Linked DNA regions of Kluyveromyces lactis. The protein of the gene in region 2 interacts with the protein of the main gene of each other region in a pairwise test. Links are inferred from orthologs where the notes say so. Each region holds a gene or a part of one and is shown on either strand. Other genes may lie near its edges.

Region 1 (2,536 bases), on a different chromosome or scaffold from region 2:
CTAAAATATCACCAGAGATTTCCCTAAGCGATTCACACAAATAATTGGTCATTTCCTTGTGGAAAGATTGCGAATCATAATCTGGCTTCTTGTTCATGCTAGTCAACTGGGTTCTATTGACCTTCAAAGCAACATGCATGAGTTGAATAACCCTACTTGCACGATGGTTGTTTAAGTCTCCGGTGATGACTAACTCCCTGTAGATATTCATACTACTACTGACCGAATCCCAAAACAATGAAGATTGATCTAGGAATTTACCATCGGGGGCACGAGAGGAAGATGCTTCCAAACCTCTGGCCAAACAGTCATCCAAGGCATTAAGTTTAGAGAAAGCTGGAGAATTAGGAGAGTTTTTGAAATTATCGAATTTTATGTTTCTTCTTAGGTTGCGGACCTTTTTAACGTTACGTTCAATGATTTCATTATTTTCATACTTCTTCTTAGAGTTTCTCTTATCCGAAGACGACTTGGCTGGTGCTGCAGTTGTTGGATCCTGTTGAGGATTACGCTCTAGTGCGACAGCGCTGTTGAAACGGAACTGGGAATTTAAAGAATTTCTGGACGCAGAAACGAACTGATTTGGGACCCTACTCTTTAGGGTCTGTTGTTGGACAAGTCTAAACATGGTTTTAGACAATGGCAAAGAAGATGTTCTTTTTAACCGGAAAAAACACTAATAACGAACAGTTGATTAGCTCTGTGTATAATAATCAAAAGAATTTGTTAGTAATATGAACCAAAGACTTTTTTTATAGGTAAAAGTCTAAAATCTTGAATAGTGTTAGAGTTTAGGGAATATATATATATCCATCGCCTCTGAGGGAAACCCGAACCTATTGTAATCGGACATAGTAGTCACACATACCTTTTTTTTTACTGATGAACGAAGGAACACAATATAATGTTCAGAGTTTAAACGGTATACTGATCTGTGATATAGTACTGAGCTATAACAAAAGAAAACACAACAATGAAAATTATGTCTTAGTTAACAAAAGTGATACGACACTGAACGATAAAAAACTGTTATTGAGTATGTTAATAATCGCTTTTGTTATATAGGTCATATCAAAAAAGAAGCTTGAACACTTTTCATCGCTCGACAAGAAGACAAAAGAAAAAGTGTCATCAGATGTCAGGAACATTGGATGCTGAGGAAAAGAAACTGAACGAGGGAAGGTTGGAAATTTTCGAAATGCGATGTTGAATTGTGCGGGTAACAATATATTTGACTCACGTGATGGGTATTTAAAATCCGGGTAAATGATATCTGACTGAGTTTTAGGTCGTCCAAAAAAAGAGCTTTTGAGGCCCCAGAAACAATAATTTGTTTTCCATTTTGAAAAACGTAAACAATAAGAGTATCTTTACATTTGATATATTTACTGGAGGAAGGCATGCATTGTTCTACACATTCGAATAGATTTATATTTACCTTGGAGCTTTAAATAGTATCTACTTCTTGCTAGGCTAAGTGATACTGAATCGTGATTTAATTACGCAGTACTGTATTATTCATTGAAGAAGTGGGAAATCAATCATCATGTCCAGAATCAACAAAGATATTTTTACGCTATTTGACAAGCAAGCCAAGGGATCCATCAGTAAGGCCCAAGTTGGTGATTATTTGAGAGCAATTGGATACAATCCTACCAATGCGCTAGTGGAGGAAGTTGTCGCTTCTTCAGGTGACGAGTTGACCTTAGGTGATCTAGAAAAATTAGTTAAGGATAACGAAGAGAAGTTGGAGCAAACTACTCAAGGTAAAGTAGAGGATTTCATCAAAGCCTTTCAAGTTTTTGACAAGGATAATACTGGCAAGGTATCACCAGGTGATATTCGTTACCTATTGACCGGTCTAGGGGAAAGGTTAACTGACGAGGAAGTTGATGAATTGATGAAGGGGATCGAAATCGACTCTGACGGATTGATCGACTACAAGAAATTTGTTGAAGATGTATTGAGACAATAAGAGAGAGGATGTAATGCAACTCAAGATTACATGCATTAGTTAGTATAATACAAATATATATATAAATATAAATACCCAATCTCACACGCCAGGAGCTTTGCTCTTTTGTTCTATTCTAAGCAGTCCGATACTATTGACTTGTGACAGTTCTAGATTCAAAACCCAACGTCTTCTGGTAGGGTGAGAATTGGCATGAAGTTCCCTATTATCATCATAGGTAAACCAAAGGCGTCTCTTTTTAGCGTCCATAGACAACAACATTTAATAACGCTTCCCTTGATCGGGGTTAATAGATTACAAATTCGCATAGTTTCAGCACCTCTGAACCCCTGATATGCAACCCTAGTGAACGTTTGGAAGTACTCCATTACCGTATCACCATCCATCAATTCGACTATGAAGGTCATTTTGTTGAGTAGTTCTAGACGATTCCAGCCAGTCAATAGAGAAAACTCGTCATTCACATAACTGATCTGTCCGTTACGTCTCCATACACAAGTTGGGGTACCAACCTGAGAGATGAATTTCTCATACTCTAATAAAGTTCTCTGATGGCTCTTT
Region 2 (4,322 bases):
GAGTCTAAAGCACGCTCGTCATTCTTTACAACATCCAACTTATTCTTAAGTTCATTGACTGTAATCTCCAGCTTTTCTTTATCATGGGACAACTCTCTAAACTTATCTTCTGATAAATCGGAAGCATTTTTCGTCTTTTCTAATTCAAGGCGTAAATTATCAGCTTCTTTAGATAATTCGAGGTTTTCAGTTTCCAAAGAGTCTTTAATTGACAGAGTTTCATCCCATTTTTGTTGAATTTGAATTTGCTTTGTCTTGGTAGCCTCAAGAAGTTCTTGCGACTGTTGTAGTTCACTAGTTTCTTTTAACAATAATGCTTTAACTTTTTCTAACTCTTGTTCCACCAGCCTCTTTGCATCTACCATAACCGTCGTACTTTTTTCGCTCTCTGCTAGCTTGTTTTCGAGTTGTTTGACTTGTTCAGCTATTTTTTTAGTTTTCAAGATGGTATTCGAAGAGTCTAAAAGCGGTAGCAATTTCATGTATAAATTGTACCATGGATTTTCCATGAGCCTGTCATAGGTTTCAAAAGTTACCTTTAAGATCCTTGCAGCCTGTAATTTCTTAAGATGACTTCTGATTTCTTTCCTGACTGAATTAGCAGATATTATAGCATTTAACCTAGTAACAGCTGCACTCAAACGCTGTTCTTTCAGCAGTTCAAGGTTTGCTAATACACCAGCTTTGAAAAACAGCTTTGTGTTCCCGACCTTGTAAATTGTTGGATCCAGGTGAAGTGATGATAACAGTATTTCACAGTTCTTTTTGGAGTTGTTAGTGAATCTACACTCATCTGAAAGAATTTTGTATCTTTGGAAAAATTCCTTGAAGAATATTCTGTTGGGATAACCATCCCTAGCAATTCTTATTCCTTCAAGAACACCGTTACACCGTAATTGATCTAGAATAAGCTTCTTATCAAAATCACCTGCCTTTTTCTTGTTGTTTGGAATTATACAACGAACGAAATGGGGATCCGTATTGCCAAGCTGTTCAATGAGTGTATGGAGCTGTTCCCTATGTTTGTTAGATGATGTCCTAAAAGAACTGCCTCTAATGCGATCTGCGAAAAATTGTGATACCAGAGGGTTCGCACAATCATTGAGTACCTGCAATAAATTTTCATTTAAAGGATCTTTATTCTTTGATAGCCAATCAGTAACGTTGTATTCAACATCACCTGCATAATGCTTTAGTATAAAGCAGTTATCCAGCTTAGACCTTTTGAATTTAGTGGATTTATTATCCCAAGATGAAAGTAATTTCGAATAAAAAGAGGCATCTGAAGATTTTGGTAAGATCGATTCTTCTTCTAAAATCGGTAGTATACCTGGAATGCTGCTGTTTTTCTGTTCAATTAAATCAATTGTGGTTTGTAAGTCTTTGCCATAATCGATGAAATTCCATTGGATGTCTTCCTTTTGATATTCATTTTGTTCCAATACAAACATATGATGATTGAAAAACTGTTGTAATTTCTCATTTGTGTAATTGATACATAGTTGTTCGAAAGAATTATCTTTGAAAATTTCGAACCCAGCGATATCCAATAATCCAATAAAATATTCAGTCATCGATCCATGCTCTAAACTCTTGTTAATTTGATTTACAATATATTCGAAAAGCTTCTCATATAATGATCGGGATAAAGAGTTAAGAATTGACCTTGCCTGTGAGGCATTTTTGGCTTGTGATACCCATTCTTTACCAGCCTTTGATTTAGGTTTTAGAACAGCTGACTTGAAATCGTCTTCCTGAACTCCTAGAAGTTTACACAAGGGTTTGATATCATTTTTAATGCTGGCTTGTTCTGACCTCTCTGATACAAACTCAACGTTACCGATGTGCAATATGATAGAAATACATTTGAGAATGGATTGAATGTCATCCTTCGTAAATCCAACAGTTTCAAACGCGGATACAAGTTCCTGATAATTTTGACCATCGTCAATACCTGGAATTGATGGGTTGGAATGTCGTAGATACTGGTAATCAACGATGGAATTCGATTCTAATCCAATAGCCCGTAACTCTTGCTTCGACATGCCAGATAATATTTGATAAAAAATATGGTAGTTTCTTTCCCTGGCATGAGCTTGTATAACTCTTGATTTCTCCAATAGATACCATTCGATATGTGCTCCATTGATCTTACCATATTCGTCGAAATCGATCTTAATGAATTTACCAAAACGTGAGGAATTGTTATTGCGCACCGTTTGGGCGTTACCGAAGGATTCTAAAATTGGGTTTGATTGTAAGATTTTCCTTTCAAACGATTCGTTCGTCTGATTTAATAAAATCTTATCATCCGTCGTAATGGATGCCAAATATTGTAAGATTTTTTTTGTATTCTCTGTTTTACCAGCACCTGACTCACCGGTAACCAAGATCGATTGATCCTGCTTTTGATGCAAAAGATTCTGGTAAGCCTGTTCAGCGACAGCGAAGATATGCGGTTTATTATCCTCCTTCGGAGATCCATGGTATAATTTGATATAGCTGTTACTATATATCTTGATATTACTGTATGGGTTAATGGCCACTAAAAATAATCCTGAATAAGTGTAAATCAAATCATCTTGGTACCTGTTCTGTAAATTGAAAAGAACAGAAGCTTCATTAAGATGCGTCAATTCAGACAAGTCGTCCACTTTATCAAAGGTAGAAGGATTCACCGAGGCTACATCGTCTTCGGAAAACTCTGTTTCCTTACCATTCACACTAACCACAGCAACCGCTTGTTCCTGGCCTTGCTTATTCTTAACCACTTTCCGCTCTACCAATTGACCTTGAACAAAAACCTCTCGTTCATCAGATACCCATACTTTTTCCCTCTGTTGACTCATGTTTTCCTAACAGCCTCGTACCCAAATTGAGTTTACCTGTAATTTGGTCAATGAGGCTACGTTATTGGAACCAGAAGTCAATATCAATGCTCTTCAATTGAATTTATTCATGCAATTGAGACCGCTAGTGTTTGTTATTGATTCCAGTTGTTCTTGATGTTTATGTTTTTTTTTTGTTTACAAAACAATTAGAGATCAGAAAAGGGAATTGATACGTAAAGTAATTTGAGGTCACGTGGATTTTGTTTCATGAAGCCCATACACATGCTAAAAAGCTTATATGTGTAGTTGAACAGTATATACGTTGCTGTTTTTCATGCTTTTAGGTACTGGCCCTTGTTAATCCTGGGACAATGAATATAGTAGATGTGGCACGTCTGTGGCACGTCTGGGTCACTTAGTTATTCACTTTCCCGGTGTATTTTTCAACACCCATAATACGAATTAGGTTAAAATAGGTGAAAAATGTCAACTACTGAGAATTTATTCCTAGTCGTTATTGCACCTAGCCGTTCGAAAATAAGGTGTAGTCATCAATATAGTTTGTTGTTCGTTAGCATCATTGTATGTTTTTAGTGTTGTTGTGTGTTTCGCTTAGAGTTCCGTGTAGACGCAGGATTTTTCAGTTCTAAACGTCAATCAAGTATATGCTGGACATATATAAGATTGAAACTAGCTTGTGACAGTTAAAACGGTTCAACCTTTCAAGATGATGTTCGAAAGTACTGGTAACGATCGTGTTTCCTATGCGCACTTGAGCAGACGTGATATTATGGCACGTTATTTCAATCTTTCTGCACCAGTCGGCCATGCAGGTGTGCCGCTTCCGAAGCATGTGATTGCAAAACACGACGACAGCAATGTTGCAGATGATAATTACACCTCTGCTGTTAATAATACCACAAAGAATGATGAATTTATTCTTAGTGAAAAGATATTGAATTTACCCATTGAAATTAAGGTTAAAATTACCAATAATTTGAGCCAATATGACTTGGTGAATTTAGCATCGGTATCGAAATCTTTTTATGACGCGGCGATGTTTTCTTTGTACGAAAATATCGTGGTAGATACGTCATACTCTATATTGAACGATTCGTTGAGAACGGACAAGAATCAACGATGTACTTATATCAAGACGAAGTACAATTTAAAGAAGTTTATGAAATCGTTATCACAGGATGAAATACAAACTGCGTTCCCCTTAGGGATATTGGTAAAAAGTCTCAAAATATATTCTTTGCCCGATGGGGTCTCGAATATGGAAATTGTGAATTTCGTTCATAGATCCATCAATTCGTTGACGAGACTATCATGTTTGTATTGGGAAAGCGGGTCACGGAAATTGCCCTTGGACACATTACAATATTTACCCAATAAAAAAGAACTTACCTCGTTAGCGATAAATCTTGATTTATCGAAATGTACCGAGGCAGATATACACTTCCCGCAACTTGAGCGGCTCTCAGTGGT
Region 3 (4,077 bases), on a different chromosome or scaffold from region 2:
GGTAATTATATGAATGATTCTTCAAAGCAAGCTCAGGGGTTCAAGCTAAGCACCCTACAAAGATTGACCTTCATTAAAGATGAAAAGAACAGTATGACTTTTTTGAACTATGTGGAAAAGATAATTCGTGAAAATTATCCCGAATACAGCCATTTCGTGGAAGAGCTTGAGCCTATTTTTAGCGTAACAAAAATATCCATCGAACAGTTGGTAACTGATTGTAAGGAATTTTCACAGTCAGTAATTAACGTTGAGCGTTCTATTGAAATTGGAAACCTAAGTGACCCTTCTAAATTCCATCCGTTAGATCGTGTTTTAAATAAGGTAGTACCGGTTTTACCTGAAGCTAGAAAGAAAGCTGATCTTCTAAGCGATGAAATCAAATTAAGTTTGCTGGAATTTGAAAATCTAATGAAGAAATTTGGCGAAGATGCCAACGACAAGTTCTCTAAAAACTCTTTCTTCCAAAAGTTTGCAGATTTCATTACCGAATTCAAGAAAGCTAAAACTCATAATGTCAAACTGGAAGAAGAAGAACGTGCTTACGAAAGGAGAAAGAAAATGATTGAAGATCAACAACGGAAACAACAGGAGGCAGATAGTAAGGCAACAGCAAAAAATTTAAGCACTTCGCAAGAACCGTCTGATGATAGGGACGATATAGAGAAGCTTTTGGATAAATTGAAAAATGCAGCTCCTTCAAAAGGAGATCCATCTAGTACTCGTAAACGTGCATTGGCTAGAAAGAAATTACTAGATGGTAAATCCGGGGCATCAATTTTTGATAACATCACTGCTGATAGTACTATCGAAGCTTTCGTGGAACAAAATAGAACGCTTACCGAATCGCCTACTGCTAAAAAATCGGCCAGCCTTCCTGAAACTGAAAGCTTGTCGTCATCAAAACAAGACCCTGCAGATAGAGCAAGGAATTTATTACTAGAATTAAGAGGCCCTGACGAAAGAAAAGACGCTTCTCCATCCCCAATCAAAGCAAAGGACAAGCTTAGGGATCTGAAAAAAAAAGATTCTTCTGTGAAAGTAGACCAACCTAATAAACTACAATTTGTTGGAAGCCTAGAAGTTGGACCTCATCCTAAACCGTTATCGCCAACCCAAGATTTGATGGACACATCGAACTCATCGGAAGATGAGTTTATTGATGCTTAAAGACTACATAATACTCATTTCAGCATTTATTTAATAACTACAATATGTGTATACTTGCATAGACATAATTCGTATACCGAAATTGACATTTTCATTTTAAAACCGGGTAATGAATTTAGTTCCAATGTTTGATGAAATCAAGAATGTAATATATATCAACCAAATTACCAGAGGACTAATGAAATACATAAATACTCGCCTGTGTAATTTACTTCAATAAATGAATCACTGATTTTGCTAACAGAAAGTACTTGCTACAAGCAAAGCTGACGGTAGCCTTATTTTTAGAATGGCGGATCAAGAAGAGTCAAAGCGCATATCTTTGCAAGTGACATCTTTATCTACGCAATTAATCGAAAGCATTGATAAACAATCCCAATTAGAAGAACAGTTACTAGTGGCTAAGAAAACCATTTCCACTCAGCAGAATATTGCGAACTCATATAATGAATTGAAGCAGGAACTACAATCTTTGAAATTACAATACGAAACCGATAAGACAAAATTCAAGAAACAGGAAGAAATTTGTGCTGATGCCGAAAAGAAAGTGGCTACATTGAACCAAGAAATTGAAGACTTAACCGCTTCTTTATTCGATGAGGCTAATAACATGGTAGCAGATGCAAGGAAAGAACAAAATGCTGTAGAAATATTAAACTCGAAGCTCAAAGAGCAGTTGAAAGAAAAGGATTTATTACTTGATACATTGTCAATGCAGTTAAAGAATCTCAAAAACGTACTCTACAAGTTCGAAAATGATTTCAATTCTTCGAAGAACGTTTCACTTTCAGATTCTGCGACGTCCTCTACCACATCAATTGATAGATCAACCACCAACCTAACCTCAGTAAATGATAATTCATTGTCGTTTCAAGGCGTGTTATTTTCCCCTCTTCTGCATTCGTTAAGGTATGACGTTCCTCTATACACAGAATATTTGAAATTTCTTGCTGTGCTACCACAATGCGAAAACCTTCAACAAACCACTTCGGAATCGAAACTATTAAGGAGATTAATAAACTATGAAATAAGTCCCGTCTTGCGACTTGATAATGCCTCCGGAGTAGGATGGCTTGTAAAAAGAAATTTAATGAATTTAATGATGGAAGGACTGGTATCAATCGAGCCGATTAGTGGAATAAATGAAACATATCGTACAGGATATAGTTCTCCAAGTATTCCCGACTCTCCAGAGGTCGAAAACAAAGATTCTCATTTGTTTAGCCGTCCGGTGAATTCTCCGCCTGTTGCTATGGTAGAACCATGTGCTTTCTGTGGTGAAAATAGAAACGACATCCTTGAACATGGAAGACTTTATATCTTCAAAACATATCAAAAGCTCGAAAATGGTAAAAATGAGTTAACAAATCAATTTCCCGTGTGCCATTACTGCTTGTTGAAATTAAGACAAGTTTGTGAAATTTTCGCATTTTTGAGATCATTGAGATCTGGTGCTTGGCATCTAGAAAAAGTAGCTTTGGCATCAATACATCAAGGCAAGGTCAATGCTTACTCCGAGGTAACTAAAGCATCAAGGCCGAAAATGAAATCCAAAAGATTAAGTATTTTCCAAGGATTAAAGCAATCGCAATCTTCAACTCCTATCATAGAAAATGGTCCACAATTTGCCGACAAAAACGGACTACCAACAACCAATATCCAGAGGTCATGGGCCCGTCTTTCACAACTACGAGCATCTTTACAATGGTCGCATATTGGCGTATGGTCTCTCGACGAATCGGTAGCTACAGATATTGCCCCATCAACAGATATTTCCAAAGCTAAAAGTTTTGAAGAAGAACAAGGTCTAGGCATTGCCTCAAACAATATCCCTGTCCCTATAACACATGAGGAGGATGAAACTTTCGATTTTGAAGCGGATACCGCAAACTCTATCAGTGTGGATGAAACAGTCAATGGTATACGTCACACAGATCAATCATCGGATGATATTGGCGATCATAATGAGAAAACTAATGAGAAGACTGCCACGGATTTACAAGGAAAGAATGAAGAGAAAAAAAGCAAAAAAATTGAACCACAGCATTCAAGACAGCCCTCACAATCATCCACAGTATTAAATGATAACAAAGAAAGTGCCGAATCAGCTCATGATACCCATGCATCATCTGAAGAGCCAAGTGATTTATTGGAAACTTATCAAGATCTGTCCGCTGATCTTGAACCCGAATCTGAAAAGCCTGAAAATTTGGATAATTCTGATGAAGAGGATAGTTTTAACGATGCAAAGGATGTCGTCAACTAGTGTCATGCACAATCTTTCCTCCTACCTTGCATACTTTGTAACAATAAATACCTGATGTAGAGAGTTTCATTTCAATGCACGTGATTTGTCAAATTTCGTCATCCTTATCATACCCAAAAGACTAAGCACCAAATTTATATATTGCAAGTATTTCTTCTTGCCTTAGATAAAACAATATGGCTGTAAGAAGGTTGTAGTAGCAAACGGAGCGCACGATAGTTGAACCGCTTATGGCCTACTTTGTGAATTATAATTAATACAGATGCAGATAGCCGCTGATAAAAAGTATGCAAAACTAGCTCTGTCTGATAAACAATCGAAGAATGAACCAAATCCGTTTGAACTGGAGTTAACGTCATTTGATGACACCGCGAAGACAGCTGACAGCGCAGTTGACCAAAACATTTTTAATGTTAATGAAGAAGACCCATTAACAGATGACATCTATTTATCTAATGAGGCAAAATCTAACAGGTACATGGCTTTCATGAACATGGCGAATAGTATTTTAGGATCAGGAGTGATAGGGCAACCTTTTGCGATGAAAAATTGCGGAATCATCGGCGGATTATTTGCGACCATATTAATGTCCATACTGGTTGATTGGACCATTCGTCTGATTGTGATCAATTTGAAATTAA

What was found.
Region 1: the proteins of MYO1 (region 2) and MLC1 interact in binary tests that used the Saccharomyces cerevisiae proteins (3 or more experiments, as listed by UniProt). The link is inferred for Kluyveromyces lactis from reciprocal best matches to the Saccharomyces cerevisiae genes MYO1 and MLC1.
Region 3: the proteins of MYO1 (region 2) and SEC2 interact in a two-hybrid assay, tested with the Saccharomyces cerevisiae proteins (2 studies listed by BioGRID, with this or other methods). The link is inferred for Kluyveromyces lactis from reciprocal best matches to the Saccharomyces cerevisiae genes MYO1 and SEC2.

Annotation. Positions count from the first base shown.
Region 1 is NC_006042.1:962,122-964,657, reverse strand, and holds MLC1 (Mlc1p), read left to right. Parts: upstream 1-1,546; coding exon 1,547-1,975; downstream 1,976-2,536. Other genes in the region: KLLA0_F10461g (uncharacterized protein), read right to left, coding at 1-628; ERT1 (Ert1p), read right to left, coding at 2,131-2,536. UniProt on the Saccharomyces cerevisiae protein: Essential light chain for the class II conventional myosin MYO1. Also acts as light chain for the class V unconventional myosin MYO2 and for IQG1.
Region 2 is NC_006041.1:1,021,670-1,025,991, forward strand, and holds the start of MYO1 (myosin 1), read right to left. Parts: upstream 2,850-4,322; coding exon 1-2,849. Other genes in the region: KLLA0_E11617g (F-box protein), read left to right, coding at 3,559-4,322. UniProt on the Saccharomyces cerevisiae protein: Required for cell division.
Region 3 is NC_006039.1:193,626-197,702, reverse strand, and holds SEC2 (guanine nucleotide exchange factor SEC2), read left to right. Parts: upstream 1-1,459; coding exon 1,460-3,436; downstream 3,437-4,077. Other genes in the region: formin BNI1, read left to right, coding at 1-1,170; AVT2 (Avt2p), read left to right, coding at 3,699-4,077. UniProt on the Saccharomyces cerevisiae protein: Guanine nucleotide exchange factor for SEC4, catalyzing the dissociation of GDP from SEC4 and also potently promoting binding of GTP. Activation of SEC4 by SEC2 is needed for the directed transport of vesicles to sites of exocytosis.